5 linked regions of the Cricetulus griseus genome follow. The protein of the gene in region 1 interacts with the protein of each later gene in a pairwise test. Links are inferred from orthologs where the notes say so. Each region holds a gene or a part of one and is shown on either strand. Other genes may lie near its edges.

Region 1 (4,268 bases):
AAAGTTAGAGGCTAGCCTGAATGTTACAAAGTGAGACTCTGCTTCAAAGTGTAGAACGACTCCACATCATTTATATTATTTGCTCTGCAAAATCCTAACCATATTACATTGTCTCTATTTAATTACATCTTTTCGAACGTTCCCAAAAACTGTTCACTGTGTATGTTAACCCCACGATGCTTCAGTCTTTTCAAAGTGAAGGGACTCTGCTCTCCAAGTCTAACACAGCACAAGAGCAAGCACTCTTTTCTTACAAGAAAAGAATGTTGACTGGGTACAAGTCTTTTCATTAAGTCTGTGTGATCTATTAAAGCAATACATTTATTCCACAAAAAAAAAAAAAAAAAGGAACAGTAGAAAAGACCACCAGACCACCAGGTGAAGATGGCAGGGCTCAAAAGTGGGCACTTCCTGGTTCTAAACACAAGAGACAGAGTTAGTGTCTCCTTCCTGGGCCCAGATCTCATCTTAGGGAAATGCATTCACTTCACTCTTCCACCTGCAGCTGGAAAGAAGGCACTGAAGGACCAACGCTTTGGCAGGCATCAACACACCCAGGATGTACCCCAAGTGCTGTCCAGACATAGCTACCTAACCACAAAGGTCAAGAGAGGTCTGCACAAACAATCGGTAATAGTTTTTAAAGCCACCTGATTGCACCTATGTAATCTGAAAGCAGACTTAGAACCACTCCTGTCAATTTATTCCCCTTAAACATACCACCAATACTGGGGAGAACTGATCGCTGTGTGGCTTAACTTTCTTGGTCTTGAAATTAGCATTTCTACTCTTTAACCCTCGGGATATTTTTCTTTCCAATGTAGTTCACAATCAGGTGTTTTTAAGACATAGTAATGTTGAAGAGTATTTCCTGGGACTGGAGAGATGGCTTAGCACTGGCTGCTTTTCCAGAGGACGCTTGTTCAATTCCCAGCACCCACATGGCAGTTCACAGCTGTCTGTAAGTCCAGCTCTAGAGGACCTGATGCCCTCATCTGCCTTCTGAAAGTACCAGGCATGAAAGTTGTAATATAGACATACATACATATATTCAGGCAAAATACCCAAATTTCCCTAGCCGAACTAACAACAACCACACACACACTTCCTTTTCAGCATTTTATTCTCCAAGTCACTGGCCCCTGCATCTAATTTTTCACAAGGTGTCATAGGGTTTTAAATGGTTATACTATCTTTTATTCAACTCGAGTTTCCTGATCATGTAATCTTGTATCAAAATTAAAAACCTGATGTGGAATATGGCCTGAGAGATTACTCTGAGAACTCACAAACTAAATAAAGGTTCATTCCTGTCTCCCAGGAGAAAGTAGGAGGTAGAAGGAACATACAACAAATTTACCCAAATTCAACTGGTTATTTAGAACACTCTCATCACAGAAAGTCACTAATAAACTACAAACACACAAGGAAGCAAGAATTCTCATCATTACCACCAATAAAAATCACAACTTTCCGTTCTGTAAGATTGTTCTGCGTCATTTCTGACATTGCTGACCTTAGACAGATAATTTTGGAATGTAAAGATGGTGGCTAACACTGACACTTGAATTCTATGTATAATGTAATTCCTGGAAACCTCAAATATTTACTTGATTTCTTTTAAACAATTTTTTAAAAAAGTATCCAGGATGTGTGTGTGTTGGGGGGGTGACCTAAACAAGTCAAGGACCCAGAGATAAGGCAGAAATCAACAGGAAAACTTCTGATGCTTCCAAACACACAGAAGAGTTAGGCAAAGGGGCAAAGACTACAGAGTAAAGTGTCCCCACTGTACCACAAACATTTATGAGTGCAATTCACAGAAACCAGAAGTAGCTGCCAAACTCCCAAAGAACACACCAGAGCACCACGCCCAGCACCCACTGTCACTCACGTTATTAAACGCGACTTTGCCTTCTTGGGTGACTCTAAGATTTCATTAACATGATTACCAGTGGTGGAACAAAAGCTGCTGCTTGTCAGAGCTGTGGTTGGCTTAAAGGGGTCCATAGACTCATCGAAGTTATCTGGGTCAAAGTGGTAGGAGCCTTTGGAGGAGAGGGGTGGGGAGCTCTGCAGAATGGGGCAGTTCCCAGAGGAATTAAAGTTGGGGTGATCCCATCTACTAGGATCTAGCTTAGGAGATGTTTGGGAGAGTGAGGCATCTTGGACTCTTGGGTCTGCAGGCTGTTCGACATCTACTGGCTGACTGATGCCATCTTTCCGTATGTTCGGCATCAGTTTGTTAGTAGGTTTCCTTGGAAGGTCATTCTTGGCCTCGACATGTTCCCCATCTTCTGTAAAATCATACTCAAGTTTGACAGACGAGTTCCTGGACTCCTCCTGCAGCTCACACCCTGAGCCACTAGTGCCATTACTGAGAGCTTCTGCAGCTTCTTTCAGGTTAAGGGAAGATTTCTGGGCCCTGGTACCTCTCAGCACGCTAGGATATGTGTTCTTAGCCACTTCATCAGGAACTGACAGGGAGGAAGCCTTAGGGAAAGGCAAACCTTCCATGATCATTTCAGTTTCAGAGGCATCGCCTCCAGCTGTCTTCTTCCTCAGGGAGACAGGCTTGGGTTTTCTTAGCTTGCTTCTGCTGGCTTCTCTGGTCTTCAGACCAGCCTCTGTAAAGGCCTCAAATGTAACCGCCATGCCTCCTTCTGTCACTGGCTTGTCCTGAGTAGCTTCTGATGCAGCAGAGGGCAAAGCCTTGCCTGAGAGTGCAGGTTCACAGCCATGAGCTGCTTTTGTTCCAAGAGCAGCTGGGTCATCTGTAGAACTCCTGGTTTCTATTGAAAATGGCCTCACTACTAAGATCTTACTAACATCATGTTGGGTTTCTCCTCTGACATCCTTGACTGAATGAGAATCAGTAGTCGCCTGTGATGCTTCATTTTCTGAAAATCTAGAACATGTATCAGATGAACATTTTTCAATCACTTCTGCTACAAACTGTTCATCAGCTTCTTGTGATTCTAGAAAAAAAAAGGAAGAAAACTCTATTAAAGAATTCTATCACTTGTAAAGAGTCTGCACTGTGTGACTTTATCAACAAGCAGCAAGTCCTTCCTTCCCTCTACCCTTAGCTCAGCAGTTTTAACTTTAAAAAGACTATAACAAGCTCTACACACTAGCCAGGCGGTGGTGGTACATGCCTTTAATACCAGCACCGGAGAGGCAGACACAGGTGATCTCTGAGTTCTAGGTCAGCCTGGTCTACAGAGTGAGTTCCAGGACAGGTTCCAAAGCTACAGAGAAACCCAGTCTCAAAAACAAACAAACAAACAAAAAGCTCTACACCCTAAGATGAATTTTACTTGGCTAAGAAACTGCTATGCTAGTAACACAGTACTGAGCAAATGTAAATCAGAGTTCTACTGTACGTGTACCGTGTGATGCTAAGGTCCTGTAGGTTCACGCTCTCTGGAGAACCTAACACACAGCAGCTTAGCTGGAAGGCTGCTGAGAAGAGCCAAGCTGCTTCCCAGGCCAGAATGCTTCAGCTAGCAAAACTGAATCTAGTTAGTCCTAGTTTTCCCTGTTCCACAGGCTAAAACTGAATGAACTACTACAAAAATTAATAAATAAATCCTACCATGGCCAGATCATGGTCTACTTTTCTATAGACACAATAACCAGAAAAAGCCTGTAAAAAGGGGAAACTGCAAAAGCAAATATAGATGAGGCTTCAAAAGTAGGGAGTAGCAGTGTGAGCCTATAACCCAAGTACTCAGGAGGCAGAGGCCAGGGGTTATGAGTTGGAGGCCAGCCTGGGCTGCACAGAGAGATTCTGTCTCAAAAAACAGATACAGAGATGGCTGTAAAAACAAATATCCCTTATTTGACTAAAACATAAACCACTAAGAAATGTCATCTTTTTTCTTTATAACATTTATCTCTAGGCTAGGGAGATAATCCCCTCAATCACTTGTAAACAAAATAATTTCTCAATTTCGGTTTTACAAGAAAATATGCAAATGGAGAATTTCAAACACAAATTTCGACCTCAAACAACAATTTATCAACAGAAACTAAGTGTGCTGTCTTTCCTCTCACTCGAAGATTTCCTGTTGCTACTTCCTGATCCTAAACCAGGACCCAGAAGCAGATCACCACCATCTCACAGCACTCACACATCTTGTGTGCACCCACTGTGTGTGTTGCTCTGGGCTGGCCCAGAACTCATTCCATAGCCTAGGCCAGCTCCACCTGGCACTGGTCCTTCCACCTTAGCCTCCCCAGCGCCAGGATCACAGGTGCACACC
Region 2 (4,014 bases), on another chromosome or scaffold:
CTGGTAAAAATGAGGCAGAGAGAGCTGAGGACTGCTGGCAGGGTGGGGAGCCCTGACACACTTTCAAAAGCTCATGCCCAGCCAAGAGCGGGATGTGGGGACAAAAACGTCAAAGGGGGATGTGGGCCACATGGTGGAGAGGCTAGGAACGCCACGCCTGGGTAATGTCTTAACTTCTTAGCCAATCAAGGAAGAGCATGCCAGTTGTGCCAGTGTTGGGAAGGCTGAGGCTCAGTTACAAGTTCAATGCTAGCCTGGGCTATAAAAGGAGATCCTGTCTCAAGATTTTGTAATCTTGAAAAAAAAAAAAAAGTATTTGAAAGAACGATCCAGACCCAGGGTCCATGAGAGAAGATGAATATATAGAATAACGTGCACAGGCCACCCTGTGGGCCATCCGCATTAGAACCCAGCAACTGCCCCGTGTGCCCGAGGCTGCAGCCCTTCACGAACCATTGGGACTGGAGCCTGATGCCACAGAAACAAACAAGAAATCTAACAACTAAGCCAAGTGTTGTGACGCAGGCCTGGCATCCCAGCACTTGGGAGACTAACAGGGTGTTCAGGGCCAGCCTGGGCAACATGGCAAAGTCAAGAGACCATCCTGGGCTGCAGCGCTTGTGGGAGGCCAGCGCGCATTACAGAATGAGTTCAAGGCCAGCATGCGACTGTGTCTCAGCAAGCGACGCTCACCAAACGTCCTGCCTCGGCACCGGGTCGGGGCGCATCCCGCGGCACCCGGAGGCCCCCACGGGTCCCCCGCGTGTTGCATTGACTGACCCAGAGGTGAGGAACCCCTCCTGCCCAAGGTCACGGAGCAGAAGCCGGGATGCAGGGCTGCAGGCACCCGGGGACCCTCCCGAGCCCCTGGGGGAGGAGGACGGGGACTCGCCCCATTCTGCAGAAGAGGAAACTGAGGCTGGCAGGGGCGGCGGCGGCAGTTGGGGCCCCGGGGCGCAGGGCGGGCTAAGCCCGGCCCGAAGTCTGCGGTGGCGACAGCGAGGGGACGACAGCAAGGTCTCGGCCACGGTCACGAGTGGTGCAGCCGAGCCGACCAGCCGTGGCGCTCACCTGGGCCGCGAGCAGCAGCAGCAGGGCCGCGGCGAGCCGCGCCGCCGCCATGTCCGCCTGTCCTGCCGCAGCTCTAGGCGGAAGGTTTCCCGGCAACGCCTTCGGGACCCCGAGACGCGCACGCGCCGGCCCTGCGCGTGCGCGGGCCCGCCCCTCGCTAGAAGTGGGCGGTGCGGAGCCTGCGCAGAGCAGCGCAGGTCGGCAAGATGGCGGTGAGCATTGCTGGGTCGCGGAGAGAGCGGGGTTCCCCCCGAGGGACTGTAGACGCGAAAACTGGGGGCACAGGAGGACCAAAGAGAGGGGGGCGGACACCCGAAGACGGATAGGGAGACAGGGACGCGGAGGAATAGGAATCACGTGGGACTGCACACCGGGCGTCTTGAGGAAGCAGACCGGGAACCTGGGGAAGCAGACCCGGAACCTGGGGAAGCAGACCCGGAACCTGGGGAAGCAGACCCGGAACCTGGGGAAGCAGGCGGGGAACCTGGGGGTGCAGACCCGGAACCTGGGGGTGCAGACCGAGGAACCTGGGGGTGCAGACCGGGGAACCTGGGGGTGCAGACCGGGAACCTGGGGGTGCAGACCGGGGAACCTGGGGGTGCAGACCGGGGAACCTGGAGGGTGCAGACCGGGGAACCTGGGGGTGCAGACCGGGGAACCTGGGGGTGCAGACCGGGGAACCTGGGGGTGCAGACCGGGGAACCTGGGGGTGCAGACCGGGGAACCTGGGGGTGCAGACCGGGGAACCTGGGGGTGCAGACCGGAGGGGGAACCTGGGGGTGCAGACCGGGAACCTGGGGGTGCAGACCCCTGGGGGTGCAACCTGGGGGTGCAGACCGGGAACCTGGGGGTGCAGGCAGGGGACATGAGGATATACACAGGGGGCATGGGAATAGAGAGAGATGCAGACTCAGCGACCTGGAATTTAGTTGGGGGAACATGGGAGATGGAAATGAGTTTGCAGACAGTTATGAGGGCTGCAGGATGGTCAAAAGGAGTCGCTGGGTGCCGGGTCCAGGCAACAAGGATATGGGAAGACTGGGTCTCACTCCTCAGCTCCTCCACTCTCCAGCAGGACAAAGAGAAAAAGAAGAAAGAAAGCATCTTGGACCTATCTAAGTACATTGACAAGACCATCCGAGTGAAGTTCCAGGGTGGCCGGGAAGGTGAGTGGATGCAACAGGGCCCCTAAGAATCGGGGTTGCGACAAGCAAGGGAAAGCCTCACAAGGCAGGCATTTTAACTCTTAACAAAGGCTAAGCTTGGGCCATCCTGTTACTTGAGAGGTACCAGTATGTCTCAATTGTGGATGGGGAAAATGAGTCCCAGGGAAAGAAAGCCAGGTGCGGTAGCACCCACACCATTATTGCTGGAGCCTGAAGGAAGAGGCCAGAAAGCTGGGAGGACATAGAAGAAGGAGGCAACAGGGGGATGGAAGGAAGGCATCCCTTCAAGAGCCTGGAGGTAGCAGGGACCCAGGAGGTTTCCAGTAGCAGGATCAGGGAAAGTTCCAGCCAGTCTGAGCTATGTGGCAAGACCTGTCTCCAAAAATCAACCAGGGCTAGGCTATAGCTTGGTGGATAGAGGGTTGGTTTAGTGTGCATAAAGCCCTGGATTTTATCTCCAACACCATGGAAACCAGGTGTGGTTGTACAAGCCTGCTATTCCAACCCTAGGAAGGTAAACACAGAATCGGGAAGTTCAAGATTATTTTCAGGTTGCCTAGTGAGTCTGAGGCCAGCCTGGGCAAATGATACTCTCTCATACAAATGGGAGGGGAAAAAAGGCTATTTTGTGTTACATGGAAACTATACAGAATTCAGTTTGGGGGATGATAACATTTTATTGACACTTGGTCCACCATGAACTCACTATCTATGGCCCCTTCCACACTTGTAGGAAGAGAGTTGGGGGTCATAGTCAGCAGGCCACCACATAGGGACATGTCTCCCCATGAGTTCTGTAGTGATAACTGTCCCCATGCCTGGGTCTGTAGTGGGAGGACAATAACATCATCCTTACCCATCTCTCCCTTCAAGCCAGCGGGATCCTGAAAGGGTTTGACCCACTGCTCAACCTGGTGCTGGATGGAACCATTGAGTACATGAGAGGTGAGCTGGCTGTGGTTGTCCAGGGATGCCACCAGGCCCTGTTTCTTCTCCACACCTGTGCAGTCACATTGCCGCAGGTGGTGCTGACCTAGGGTGCAGGTCCCTCCCTGATCACCAGAAAGGTGACAGGCCCACCATGATGGCCCCAGGCTTGAGATTTCAGCTCCTTCCCCTCAGCCCTCCTGGGGATGGCAGAAATAGTAGCTACTGTCCTCTGTCTGGATTGTTTGCCTGTGTCACCAGCTCCAGGACGCATAGGATCTCAGCTTATTCCAGAATAGTACCTGTAATGCCCAAAGAGTGTCCCTTCCTCTGCACCCACAACAATTACTTTCTAATTGCTCCCTGTCTCCACCTCTGGTCCATCCTCCCCGGGGCCTCTGCTTCCCCTGCAGACCACTCCTTGGGGTGAGTATCTGCCCTGGGTTCTTGTAGTATCCATGCCTACAGTCGGCTCTGAGACCCCAGGGCCTGGGTGTGTCAGTCCCCAAAAGAAAGATGGGACAGCCCTCTGAGGTCCTGGTTGTGGAGTGCTGGGTGGAAAGGACATGTCTTCAGTTCCTCTTGCCTGTCACCCCCTATTCCCACCAGACCCTGATGACCAGTACAAGCTGACAGAAGACACACGGCAGCTGGGGCTTGTGGTGTGCCGAGGCACCTCAGTGGTGCTCATCTGCCCACAGGATGGCATGGAGGCTATCCCCAACCCCTTCGTGCAGCAGCAGGATGCCTAGGTGGAGAGCGATCTGGCCCCAAGGACCTTCCTTCCTGTGTGAACTTTGTTTGGTGTTTTACTTTTGGATTTTGTTTCTGGTTTTTTATTTTGTTTTTT
Region 3 (3,512 bases), on another chromosome or scaffold:
GTTAGCTCAGAACTCAAGAAGTCTCCAGGGTAAGAACACATTACCTTGAGGATGAGATAGGGGATAAAGGAAGATGCTTCGTTCTCAGTGAGATGATATTCTTCCTCACTCAGCAGAGTAAAGAGCAATTTTAAATATTCCAGTGCTTTCATTAGAACGCTTGTATTGGTGTCGAAAAACCGGAGGGTAAGCCATTTTAAGATAAGATCCAGGCAACCAATGACACCTTCTTTTTCACTCTCCAAGTGCTTAAGATAAAAATAAAAACCCCACAGTTAATTTTGTATGCAAATTTAAATTCTATTAGAGCCATATTTCTTAAATTGTTCTGGTGCCCCAAAGAAAATCTAAGATTTTTAGAGCTTTAATAGGACCCCCCAAATACAACATCATTTATTTTATCAAATGAGACAGCTCTACAGAAAACACTGTACATCCTTCCTCAAGGTTTTCAAACTTGACCATTTCACAGTACTCCATATTTCCATATTCCCAAGACATATAGATATTTATCTATTTGAAGACTTACATCAACCATGACAGCCAGGGCTTTATTATGATGCTGGAAGTCTGAGTGAAACATTTCATCTTGTAACCACTTAGCCACACAGCTAGACATTTGAGTCTTCAGCTGTTCAATGTATTCATCACGTGGAGTAGTAAAATTCCACTTTAGCACCTGAGGGGAAAAACAGGAAGGCAGTGAATAGTTCAACTGATACAAAGTTGAGATAGTCACCTGGCACAGCTAGCTGAAGGACCCAACTAATTTGATGCTTTTTTGCTCTTTAGCCTGTTTTTGTTTTTCTTCTTTCTTTCTTTCATCCTTTTTTTTTTTTTTTTTGAGACAGGGTCTTGCCATTTAGTAGTGACTGACCTGGCACTGAATACAGAGAGCAGGCTGGCCATGGATTCACAGTAATTTTCCTGTCTTAGCAGGCTAAGTCCTTGATTAACAAGATAAAAACAAGCAAAAATTCCCAAAGATTCTTATTACTTCCTTACCTTTAATCCTTTCTCATCTCTCATCCTTTGCTCCTTTCCATTTGGAACAACAATAAAAATAGGGCCAGATTTGTCATCATCTTCCTTTAAGGTGGCTTTGCTTGGCACTTTCTTCCCTTGTGCACTCTACAACCAGAGTTAAGGGAATATCGATTAGGTAGACCACTTCTGATGAACATATGCTGTTGCATTACAGGAGAGAACATTACAGGAGCCAGAAAACTCACTCTACAATATATTCCAACATGAAAGAAAATGATGAGTCATGAATCTTTCACGTAATATGCTTTTGAATGAGACAAAGTCCTACCATGTAGACCAGGCTAGTCTTTAACCTGCAATCCTCCCACCTCAGCTCTAGACTCTGAATACATATGTATACTATAAATGTTGTAAATTATGTGAGTCTTTGTTAGTTATTGAGTTAGAATGATACTTATATATATATTTGGAAAAATTGCTATTAACTCCAATTAGTCTGGGTCTCAGACAATTTTTAGTTTTCTTCCTTGAAATCTTCAATACCTTTAGATCTTTGTTTTGGTTTTTCAAGAGAGGGTTTCTCTGTATAACCCTAGCTCTGTAGACTAGGCTGGTCTCAAACTCAGGGATCTGCCTGTCTCAGCCTTCTGAGTGCTGGGCTTAAAGGCATGTACCACCACCTCCTGTCTCTTCAAGGCTATTTATATATTTATATATTTCATACTAATGTCATTTGAATGAATAGCACTTGTACAGCTCATATCACTTAGTTGAGAAAGTTCTATTTTTCTCTATGTATCTTTCTTTAGTGTAGCTCTACTACAGTGCTGTAACTAAAGTACTAAATCGTTTTCTAAACAAAATTGCTGTATATATTTTATTTATTTATTTGGATTTTCGAGGAGACAGGGTTTCTCTGTATTGCTTTAAAGGTTGTCCTGGAACTTGCTCTGTAGACAAGGCTGGCCTCAAACTCACAGAGATCCACTTGCCTATGCCTCCCGAGTGCTGGGATTAAAGATGTGCATCACCAACACCCAGCACTGTATATATTTTAAATACTTAATTTTCAAATATAATAGGACTAAAATATTTTTATCAAATGGAAGAAAAATGGTGAATAGTGCATATGCTTAATGTAAAATCTGAATCTTATTATTGAAATTATTATAAATGTAGCAAAAGTTAATTTTTCTAGTTTCCCAGAATTTCATTTTAAATACCTTTTTGCTAAAAAAAAATCATTTATGTAAAAGTGCTTTGTAAGCTTTTAAAAAAAATTCAGCAGACTCTGGGGCTGGAAAGATGGCTCAGCAGTTAAGAGCATTAAATACTCTTCCAGATAATCCAGGTTCAATTCCCAGCACCCAAGTGTCAGTTCATAACTATCTGTAACTCCAGTTCCAGGGGATCTGACATACTCAAAAAGACATACATGTAAGCAAAACACAAATGCACATAAAATAATACAAATAAATCATTTAAGCTGGGTATGAAGAAAGGTGATTATTTTCAAATACAGACCAACCTAAGGATTATTCCCAGGGTTGACAGAGCATATGCTTTTTCTCCTTTGTATCTGAGACACGATCTTGCCATGTAGACCAGGCTAGCCTCATACTCATAGAGATCTAACTACCTCTGCCACCCTAGTATTATGATTAAACGTGTGTGTTACAATGTCACACTCTTTTTCATTAGTGCAAATATTCAGAGATCTCCATGACAACATCTTGTGGAAACAGAATGACTGTTTTGGGATCTGATTAATAAAAAACCATGGCCACAGGACCAAGTACAGGGTTTCTCTAGCTACAAGTCCTAAGTTTTATCTCAAGTAGAGCAAAAAAATGAAACCAATCAGAGACACAGAAACTTCTATAAATGATTAATTTCATATTATCAAGAGCAGGAATGTTCTTTCATACATACAATGACCTTTCCTAATGGACTGACTAAGTGTACAAAATTAAGACAAAAGAACTATCTAAGTGTGCAGAGTTAACACACCTTTGCTTTGGAGGAAACTCCTGGAGCTTTAGCCTTCTTCAGATCAGGCTTAGCTTCTGTGGTGCTGGAAACAGAATCTTCAACAGGTGCTTTGAGGGGGAAAAAAAGCATATACTATGTTAAACTCCTATCAGTTATCCTAGATACATTAAACACACAATGATTAAAAACAACTCTGTAGCCTTATATGTATCAATATATATAAGGCATTTAAAGATTTTTTTTTCCTAGTCCTTTTTTTCTCTTCAAGTTTCTCTTTAGAAGTTGGGCGTAGTGGCAAATGCCTGTTATTCCAGTATTTGGGAGGTAGAGCCAGGGAGATTGCTGCAAGTTTGAGGATATGATGACTTACATAGTGAGAGGAGGGAGTAAGAAGATCAAAACAAAGGATATTGTGGGAGGGAGGAGGGAACTTGCAATTTTGTAAGCTAATTAAAAACAAAAGCAAGCCCAGCGTTGGTGGTGCACGCCTTTTATCCCAGCACTGGGGAGGCAGAGGCAAACAGATCTCTGTG
Region 4 (4,307 bases), on another chromosome or scaffold:
GTGTGCACCACCAGCGCAGAGCCGAGCCAAAGTTAGCATTTAGGGGAGGTGGAAGTGAACAGGTTCAATTGACTTCTTTCAAGAGGATGTGGGTGGTTTCCCAGCAAGTTCAAGGCCAGCCTGGTCTACATACACAGTCCTAGGCCAGACAGGGATATATAGGGAGATCCTGTCTCAAACAGCTGCTGTGGTGACATCTGCCTTCCCACTTATCCCTGCAAAAGCAGGGTCAGGTAAGTTCGAACACAGCCAGGTTTACATTGGGTGTTTCATCTAGGTCAGTCAGAGCTACATAGTGAAATTTGGTCTTAAAAAGGAAACGTCTATACTTGAAAGCATTCTGGAGATCTTTAAAAACAGATTTAATTGTATATTTGTGTGTGGGTATGTGCACGGAATCGTAGGTGCCTGAAGGGGCCAGAAGAGGGCGTCAGATCTGGAGCGGGACTAACATGTTTGGGAGCTGTCCAATGTGGGTGCTGTAACTCGACTCAGGTCCTCTGCAAGAACAGTACATATTTTTAACTTCTGAGCCATTTCTTTAGCCCAACAGCCCGTATTTTATTCATCAGTGTGGTCTTCGCTAAGTTTGGTAAGAGACACAAGTTCTTGGGAGAAACAATTTACCTTCTTTTTTTCTTGTCATTGACATTAACCACAGAGCTTTCTTCATAACAACACTTGAGAACTTGGCAAAAAAAAACAAAAAACAAACAAAAAAAACCAAAACCAAAAACCCCAAGCAAACAAAAAGTATATTGTTATGGCATTAAGGAACACAGCATTTCGGTATTAGACAGCTAGACATCTACTTTGGACGTAGTTTAAAGTGAAACTAAGATATACCCGTTGTGTGACTTCGGCCCCAAATATTTTTCTAGGAGATGCGCCACTGTTACACTTCCTAGTTTTGGAATCCTGCAATTTAAAGCCAAACTCACTTCCTTTGTGACTCTTCCCAACTTGTAAAGGAATTCTTTGCTGCCGATACTTACGTGAGATTTAATGAGGCAAGTGAAGGGTGACATTTGTAGTATGCCTTACCTTGTCCGGCTCCTCGAAAGCATTAGGTACCCCTCTCTCCGGAATGTCACCCCCCCTCCCATTTTACACAGGAAATAACTGAGACGATCTTTGCCACACTGCAGTTACAGCTATGATACAATAAGTTAACATAACTGTGTCAAAGCGACACTATTAGGAGGTAGGGACCAGTCTGGAAAGCGACGGCTACAGCGCCCCTCCTCCATCCCCCCCACTCCACCCGTACGCTTCGCCGCGCTCGAGTTTCTGCAAATGAAACTTGCGGCGCCGCCCCAGACTTGCATTCCTGGGCGACACCCCGAGGTGGGAATCCACCAAGGACGCGGTGGCAGGGGGAACCCCGGCCGGGCAGGGCGAGCCTAGACCTCGTGTGCGCGCTGAGCCGGTGGCGCGCGGGGACAAGCCAGGCGGCTGGGGGGGGGCGGGAGGGAAGGGGCTCTCCCCGCCTCGCGGCTGCGTCCTGCGCCCCGCGCCCTGCCCCCAGCCTCTGCTGGCGCTAAACCCCGGAGAGCGGAGCGTGCACGCTGAGCCTCGGCGGGCCCGGCCGCGGCGCTGGGCATGCTCAGTGGGCAGGACCCGGTAGAGCGGAGAGTAAGGACGCGTGGGCTCCCCGGGTTCAGGCCCCGGCCCCGGGCTGTGGTGGGGGGAGGTGGAGGGGTGAGAGAGTGGCACCGACCGCCGCCACCTCGCCCGCGGCCGCCCGACCCCGGATGGCGCGGGGCCCGTCCCGCTTCCGCCGTTGAGCGCGCCGCACGGCGGGCGGAGGCGCGGGGCGGGGCCGGCGGGCGCGAGGCGGGGGGGGGGGGGAGGCCTGGCGGTGGGGGCGGGGCGGGGCGCCCGGGGCGGGTGGGGAGGGGCGGGCGCGGAGTCACGGGGGTGGGGTCAGCGGGAGGCTCGACAGGCCGCGCGCTGCAGGGCCGGGGGCGGCTCGCGGAAGCAGCCCGGTCAGGGCAGCGGCGGCGACTTGGCGGCCGCGCGGCTCGGGCCAAGCCGCCGTGGGGCCCCATCTGCCGGGCGGCCGGCGGAGTTTGTGGTGATTGTTACTGCCCCCGCCCCGGCTGCCATCTCCTCCTCCTCCTCCTGGGCCGGGCCGGTCCCCTCCCCGCGGCCGCCTCCTCCTCTGGGCCCGCGCGTCTCGTCCCTCGCGGAGCCGCCGCCGCCGCCGCCTCCTCATTCATCCTCGTGCACCATAGGCGGCACAGGCACCAAGATGTCCAACCGAGTGGTCTGCCGGGAAGCCAGCCACGCCGGGAGCTGGTACACCGCCTCAGGTAGGGATCCAGGCCGCCAGGCGGTCGAGCTGAGCAGCCGGGGCCCGGCGGGCGGGGACGCGGGCGGCGGGCGCGGGCGGCGGCGCGACCGCGTGCCGAGGGAGCGGGCCGGGCCGGGCCGTGTCGCCTCCCCCAACCCGGCGCTCGGGCTGGCCGCCTGGCGCCCGCGGAGTTGGCCGAGGAGTTGCCGGCCGGGTCGGGCCGGGGCCGGGCAGGGCCAGGGCGAGCGCGGGCTGCGGGGCTTCGCGGACAGCGGCTGCCGCGGGGAAGGACGAGTCGGTGCGGTCCTCGTGCTAGGGACTGGTCGAAAGCACAGCAGCCTTTGCCCTCATCTTCGAGGCACCTCGCGCCCCTGGAAGGAGTGACAAGCCTTACTTTTGTCCCCCACTTCATGTTGCCACTCTAGGTCTCGCTTGAAAGATCTGTCAGCCGAGGGCCTCTCGGGGATTTGTCGCTTTGTATGTGGAGGCTCTGGCAGAGGTGCTGCCAGGCAGGGGCTATGGGTAGCCTCCTAGCTCTTTTGTCAGTGTTTGCATTGTTACTGTCATCCAGGGGCAGCTGGAGATGGCATCAGCACTTTTCCCCAGCAACCTCTAAAGTACCCAGCGCTCAGCACCGAGTGCTGGACTACCTGTCCAGTTAGCTTACGTTTTGAGAGAATTCTGCCTTCTTGTCTGCACTCTCTTAAAAACCATGTGGAGTTCTTTAGGTAAGAAAGGCTAGGGCCGTTTCCCTTTAGTCCAACTCTCGTGGCAAGGATTGCTTTTTGAGATTTTCAGGGGTCACATTTCTGGTATGGTAACAAAGGAAAAGTTCCTCTGTGATTCCTGTTGGTTTCTAGTCCAGCTTGGCTTATAAACAACTGGCCCTAAACTTCATGTGTTCCTTTGCAAGTACTAGTTTTTTGTTTTTGTTTTTGTTTTTTGTTTTTTTTTTTTTTAGAAAACAGAAAATGTGGAAGGCAGTTAGTGTGTTTTCTGAGATTGTTCCACCAGCTCTTGAAAATACATGTACCTTACAGGCTCACAGTGGATTCGCCCTACTAAGACACAAAGGAATTATGGTTGGGTTTTGGATCTACTGCTAACAGGTAGCTGTAGTTTCTTGCCTTAGATAAGTATGCCTTTTTTTTTTTTTTTTTGCCTAAAGTGTTGTTCCCTTTGTGGTCCTGAAGTACTTCATAGACTTTTAATCAGTTCTCACAACCTGAAAATGTCAGTTAAGTTATTCTTGTGTCAGTATATGGGGAAACAAAATTTTAGTGCCGCACCCAAGACTAGGCCAGAGGTGAAATAGGAATCGAACAAGCCTGAATTTTCCCTTTCTAAATCAATGCACTATTAATATTATTCATTGCTAAATAGCAGGCTTGTAAATAAGTGTGCCGCCCCCCCCCCCCAGTACGTTTTGGAGAATTACAGTCACACTTTTTTTTCATATCATGGTTGTCTTTTGGCATTTATTTATTGTGGTATTTCTATACTTTTTGTTTTGTTTTTTCTGTGTAGCTCTAGTTGAGCTCTGTAGATCAGGCTGGCCTCAAACTCATAGAGATCTACCTGCCTCTGCCTCTCCACCTCTGGGATCAAAGGACAAAGGCCAGTGCTACCACTGCCCAGTTTACATTTGTTACAAATGTTTTAAACTTTCGTTGTAGTTTACATTGAAATGTGTGCAAATGTCCTGGAGAGAATCTTTTAGATTGTTAAATATTTATACAGGTAGTAAAGTTGGACACAATTGACACTTTTGGTTTTAGAATTCCTTAGAGTTCAAACACAAGTTGTAGCCTTTAATTTGGTTCAAAAAAATCTTGACTATAGATACTTATTAGTAGTAATTATATTCTTCTCTAAAATCTGAGTGAACTACCTTACTGGAATTCAGACGTATGACTTTTTGGGGTGTGTGAGACTTTTTCTTTTTTTTTGGTTTTTCGAGACAGGGTTTCTCTGTATTGCTTTGGAACCTATCCTGGAACTTACTCTGTAG
Region 5 (3,512 bases), on another chromosome or scaffold:
GAATATGAGTTGGCCAAAGAGACCAGAAGTAAAGGATTTTTTTTTTAAGCCATAAACATGCTGTGGAGAATTTCAGAACACCTTAGTAAATGTACAAACACTTCACAATATGCCCTTTAACATTAATTACTTTCTAAAATAGATGGGGTTGTCATCTTTTAGCAGTGTAGCGTTAAAGATTAATGCAGGATGTAGTAACTATTTACTTTGGGAGCAGGGAGGTTGGAGACATGGTTTCTCTGTGTGGCCTTGGTTATCCCAGTACTGGCCTTGAACCCACAGAGATCTGCTTACCTCTGCCTTCTAAGTGCTGGGGTTAAAGGCATGCATTACTATCCCTGACTTCGAAGTTTCACGGGGGGGGGGGGTGTCTTGTTTTGTTTTTTTTTTCAATAACCATTTTCATTGAGGTTTTTTTTTAAAAAATAATTCAGGCATTGTGGTTTAGATATTGTCATATTTGACACTGAAGACACTAAAAACTATTTATCATACGAGAGTTTCAGTGCTTAGCACAAGAAGGTCACAGATTGGATCTTGCAAATAATTTTTGTTTCACAAAACTTTTAGCATAATGGATTGTAATGGAACTGCAGACCAATTCAGGACCTTAGCATCCTGAAAATCTTGCTGTTTAGGTTCTTCCTGTCTCCCTGTCTCAAGTGACAATCAAGTCTTCTCTGTTGGTGCCAAGTGAAGACTCTCAGCCATTCTTCAGCCTGGGTTGCCCATCCTCTGCCTGTCCTGTCTTCCTGGTTTGGCCCTGGCAGTACAAGCTCAAAAGAGAGTCAATGTTGGGTCAGAGGCATAGAATCGTGAGAGTGATGCAAATATATCCCATCTGTCAATTCTGCATGCTTTGTATTACAAAGTAGAATATTATTTTAAAATATGTTAACATTCGTTTATGTTATGGAATATTTGTTTAAAGATGCTAAGATATGCTGCATTCTTTCATATTGTATTTATTTAACTCTGTGAAGCTGTGTTACTTTGTCTGCCTCAAACACCTGATGGGTCTAATAAAGAGTTGAACAGCCAATAACAAGGCAGGCAAGAGAAGGGATAGGCAGGGCTGGCAGGCAGAGTGAATAAACAGAAGAAGAACATAATAGTAATAATAATTTAGAATTTTTAAATAATTATATTTTATACTATTTATAATGTTTTCTTCTCCAAGAAAGGGACATATTTTAATGTCATTGAATATTCTTCTGTGGGATTTTTTCATAGCTATATACAATTCCACCATACAGAAACATAATTTAACAGTATAAAGATGAATGCAAAGCCATTCTGCTACTCAGGCACCTGAGGAGATACCACTTCCTGATACCATTTGAGTGACAACTCAATGGGAAGGTACTTCTCAAGGATGCACTCTCTGTGCCTCCTGATGAATCACTCAAGTGGAAGGTCCAGTCTCGAGCCTGGAGGTGCCTCTGAGGCCCCGGGGTACTCACACGATGCCTGCCATTCGGAATCCTCCTTCCAGCTCTTGTATATCTGCTTGGTTTTCTCATCCTCTGTTTGTTTCACGTCTTCGTCTTCTTTTTTCTTTATGGGTTCTTTAGTCTGTTTGAAAACAAAAATAGATATGGGAAGTGGTGAACAAATGTGACAGTTTCTTTAAGAGGGCATAAGGCACTCTGGGTCCATTTAACTGTCTCTGGCCCACTAGGGAGCTACTTGGTGTCAGCAATGCCTGAAGCAAGAGCTCTGGATACCTCTGTGTGGGACTCTAGACTCTGTTCCTGCAGGCTGTTTTCCTAGAAGTGAGAAAGAACGTCACATAGAGTTCCTGTGAGCATCCATGCTTTAAGAGTGCCTGGCACAATGCACAGCACATAAGATCTATCTAAGCAACCCTTCCCCAGACCGGCACTTAGCTATTCCAAATATATTTCTCTGATGTAAATATGCGGAGTCATGGGGCCAGCGTAGACACTGACCTGCGGTAGCTAACAGGCTCCCAAGAGCAATCTTAACTGGGTGGGGTTTAAATGTTCTCCAACAAATAGGAGAATGTGATATGTGATTTGGGGTGCTCAAAAAAGGAATGAGGTGCTTTTTTGCCCTTCAAACACACAAAAAGTATCACCTTTGAAAAAGTGAAATACACCACAGAGTGAGTTCAAGTTCAGCACAATTTTGTAAGATTGTGTCTCAAAATTAAGAGGGTCATGGACACAGGTTGTCCACAGACCAGCTTTGTGAAAGCTCTATCCTGGCTTGCCTACCATGTGCAAAGCTCTAAGCTGAATCCCCCGTGCCACAGGAGGAGGAGACAGAGGACCACAAAAGTGACACAGAGGACCACAAAAGTGACAATGATGACTTTCCAACTACAAAGATGCAACCAGTGCGTAAAGTACTTGCTGTATAAGCTTGAGAACCTGAGTCTGAATCCCTGGTGCCCACGTAGTAGCTGGGCCTTGGGGTATGTGCCTGTAACTTCAGTGATGGCAGGGTAGACACAGGTGGATACTAGGGCAAACAGCATGTTCTAGGTTAAGTGAGAGATCACGTCTCAAAACATATATGAAGTCATAGAGGAAGACATCTAGTGCCTTCCTGGGGCCTCTATATGCTCATATATTGGCAAGTGCATCCTTTCCCAGGTAGATACATCATATACCATCCCATCCCAACGTACATAAAGATTTCCTTGCCATAAAAGCATTGTACCATTTTTGAAATCAAATCTTGGTTTGGATCACTGTAGGAAGCTATCGACCACTGTTAAGGCAGTCATACTCTGAATCTGTGCTCAACTGTATTTGAACACACCGTCTACTTTGATTTTTTTCTTACACTGTTTTCCTGCCTAGAGTCAAGCTCTCATTGTTGGTGTCACAGTGTTTTATAAAATCCAAGGAACAGCTTTTGGTTCTTGAGATTACTAAAATTTGCCATCTATTACTGAAGCTGGTTATGAGCCTGAAGAACATAGAAGTACAGCTCAAGATGTTCAAACTTGGACAGAAGGAAAAAACACAAACCCTTAAAAGAGGAACTCTGTTCATTTTTGGTCATTTGCTACAACTCTTGCTGGGCAGATGTGAACAAACTAGTTATGAAAGAAACATTCTCCCCATGTCAAGACTGAGGCAACAATGAGGATTCTAGGGACACTGACAGGAACCCAGACAACTGAAAGGCAAATGAGTCACCAAGCCCACCCCACCAAGTCAACCACTCATCAAAGTTAGGTCCCTGGAATTGTTGGCCCAACTTGTAGGCAGATTCATTAAAAAGCCTCCTCCAACCTACCAATTATTTACTGCTTATCTAACTTTGGAGCAGGCAGCAGGGAGTGCTTGTCACTTCTTGTTACTGCTCCATCTTGCTTCCCTCCCTTTCTCCTGCCTCCTGGATGGAATGTCTTAGTAGAGGAATCAGATACACAGTAGTACATACATATGTATTTATTTAGTCTCTCTGTCTCTTTGTCCCTGTCTCTGTCTACTTGTGTGTTCCTATGTGAGGCTTCATCTGTGCAGGAGTGAGAG

What was found.
Region 2: the proteins of Tacc1 (region 1) and Lsm7 interact in binary tests that used the Homo sapiens proteins (3 or more experiments, as listed by UniProt). The link is inferred for Cricetulus griseus from reciprocal best matches to the Homo sapiens genes TACC1 and LSM7.
Region 3: the proteins of Tacc1 (region 1) and Ckap5 interact in binary tests that used the Homo sapiens proteins (3 or more experiments, as listed by UniProt). The link is inferred for Cricetulus griseus from reciprocal best matches to the Homo sapiens genes TACC1 and CKAP5.
Region 4: the proteins of Tacc1 (region 1) and Memo1 interact in binary tests that used the Homo sapiens proteins (3 or more experiments, as listed by UniProt). The two-hybrid records come from large-scale screens. The link is inferred for Cricetulus griseus from reciprocal best matches to the Homo sapiens genes TACC1 and MEMO1.
Region 5: the proteins of Tacc1 (region 1) and Sh2d4a interact in binary tests that used the Homo sapiens proteins (3 or more experiments, as listed by UniProt). The two-hybrid records come from large-scale screens. The link is inferred for Cricetulus griseus from reciprocal best matches to the Homo sapiens genes TACC1 and SH2D4A.

The regions. Positions count from the first base shown.
Region 1 is NW_023276807.1:58,554,746-58,559,013, reverse strand, and holds the start of Tacc1 (transforming acidic coiled-coil-containing protein 1), read right to left. Parts: upstream 2,803-4,268; 5' UTR 2,656-2,802; coding exon 1,895-2,655; intron 1-1,894. UniProt on the Homo sapiens protein: Involved in transcription regulation induced by nuclear receptors, including in T3 thyroid hormone and all-trans retinoic acid pathways. Might promote the nuclear localization of the receptors.
Region 2 is NC_048598.1:101,634,294-101,638,307, reverse strand, and holds the start of Lsm7 (U6 snRNA-associated Sm-like protein LSm7), read left to right. Parts: upstream 1-1,213; 5' UTR 1,214-1,277; coding exon 1,278-1,283; intron 1,284-2,143; coding exon 2,144-2,237; intron 2,238-3,110; coding exon 3,111-3,182; intron 3,183-3,773; coding exon 3,774-3,916; 3' UTR 3,917-4,014. Other genes in the region: Sppl2b (signal peptide peptidase-like 2B), read right to left, coding at 1,072-1,122. UniProt on the Homo sapiens protein: Plays a role in pre-mRNA splicing as component of the U4/U6-U5 tri-snRNP complex that is involved in spliceosome assembly, and as component of the precatalytic spliceosome (spliceosome B complex).
Region 3 is NC_048599.1:85,166,946-85,170,457, forward strand, and holds part of Ckap5 (cytoskeleton-associated protein 5), read right to left. Parts: intron 3,087-3,512; coding exon 2,998-3,086; intron 1,132-2,997; coding exon 1,006-1,131; intron 680-1,005; coding exon 530-679; intron 249-529; coding exon 45-248; intron 1-44. UniProt on the Homo sapiens protein: Binds to the plus end of microtubules and regulates microtubule dynamics and microtubule organization. Acts as a processive microtubule polymerase. Promotes cytoplasmic microtubule nucleation and elongation. Plays a major role in organizing spindle poles.
Region 4 is NC_048600.1:9,364,804-9,369,110, forward strand, and holds the start of Memo1 (protein MEMO1), read left to right. Parts: upstream 1-1,495; 5' UTR 1,496-1,635; intron 1,636-1,950; exon of another isoform or gene 1,951-2,237; 5' UTR 2,238-2,254; coding exon 2,255-2,315; intron 2,316-4,307. UniProt on the Homo sapiens protein: May control cell migration by relaying extracellular chemotactic signals to the microtubule cytoskeleton. Mediator of ERBB2 signaling.
Region 5 is NW_023276806.1:245,081,205-245,084,716, reverse strand, and holds part of Sh2d4a (SH2 domain-containing protein 4A), read right to left. Parts: intron 1,576-3,512; coding exon 1,464-1,575; intron 1-1,463. UniProt on the Homo sapiens protein: Inhibits estrogen-induced cell proliferation by competing with PLCG for binding to ESR1, blocking the effect of estrogen on PLCG and repressing estrogen-induced proliferation. May play a role in T-cell development and function.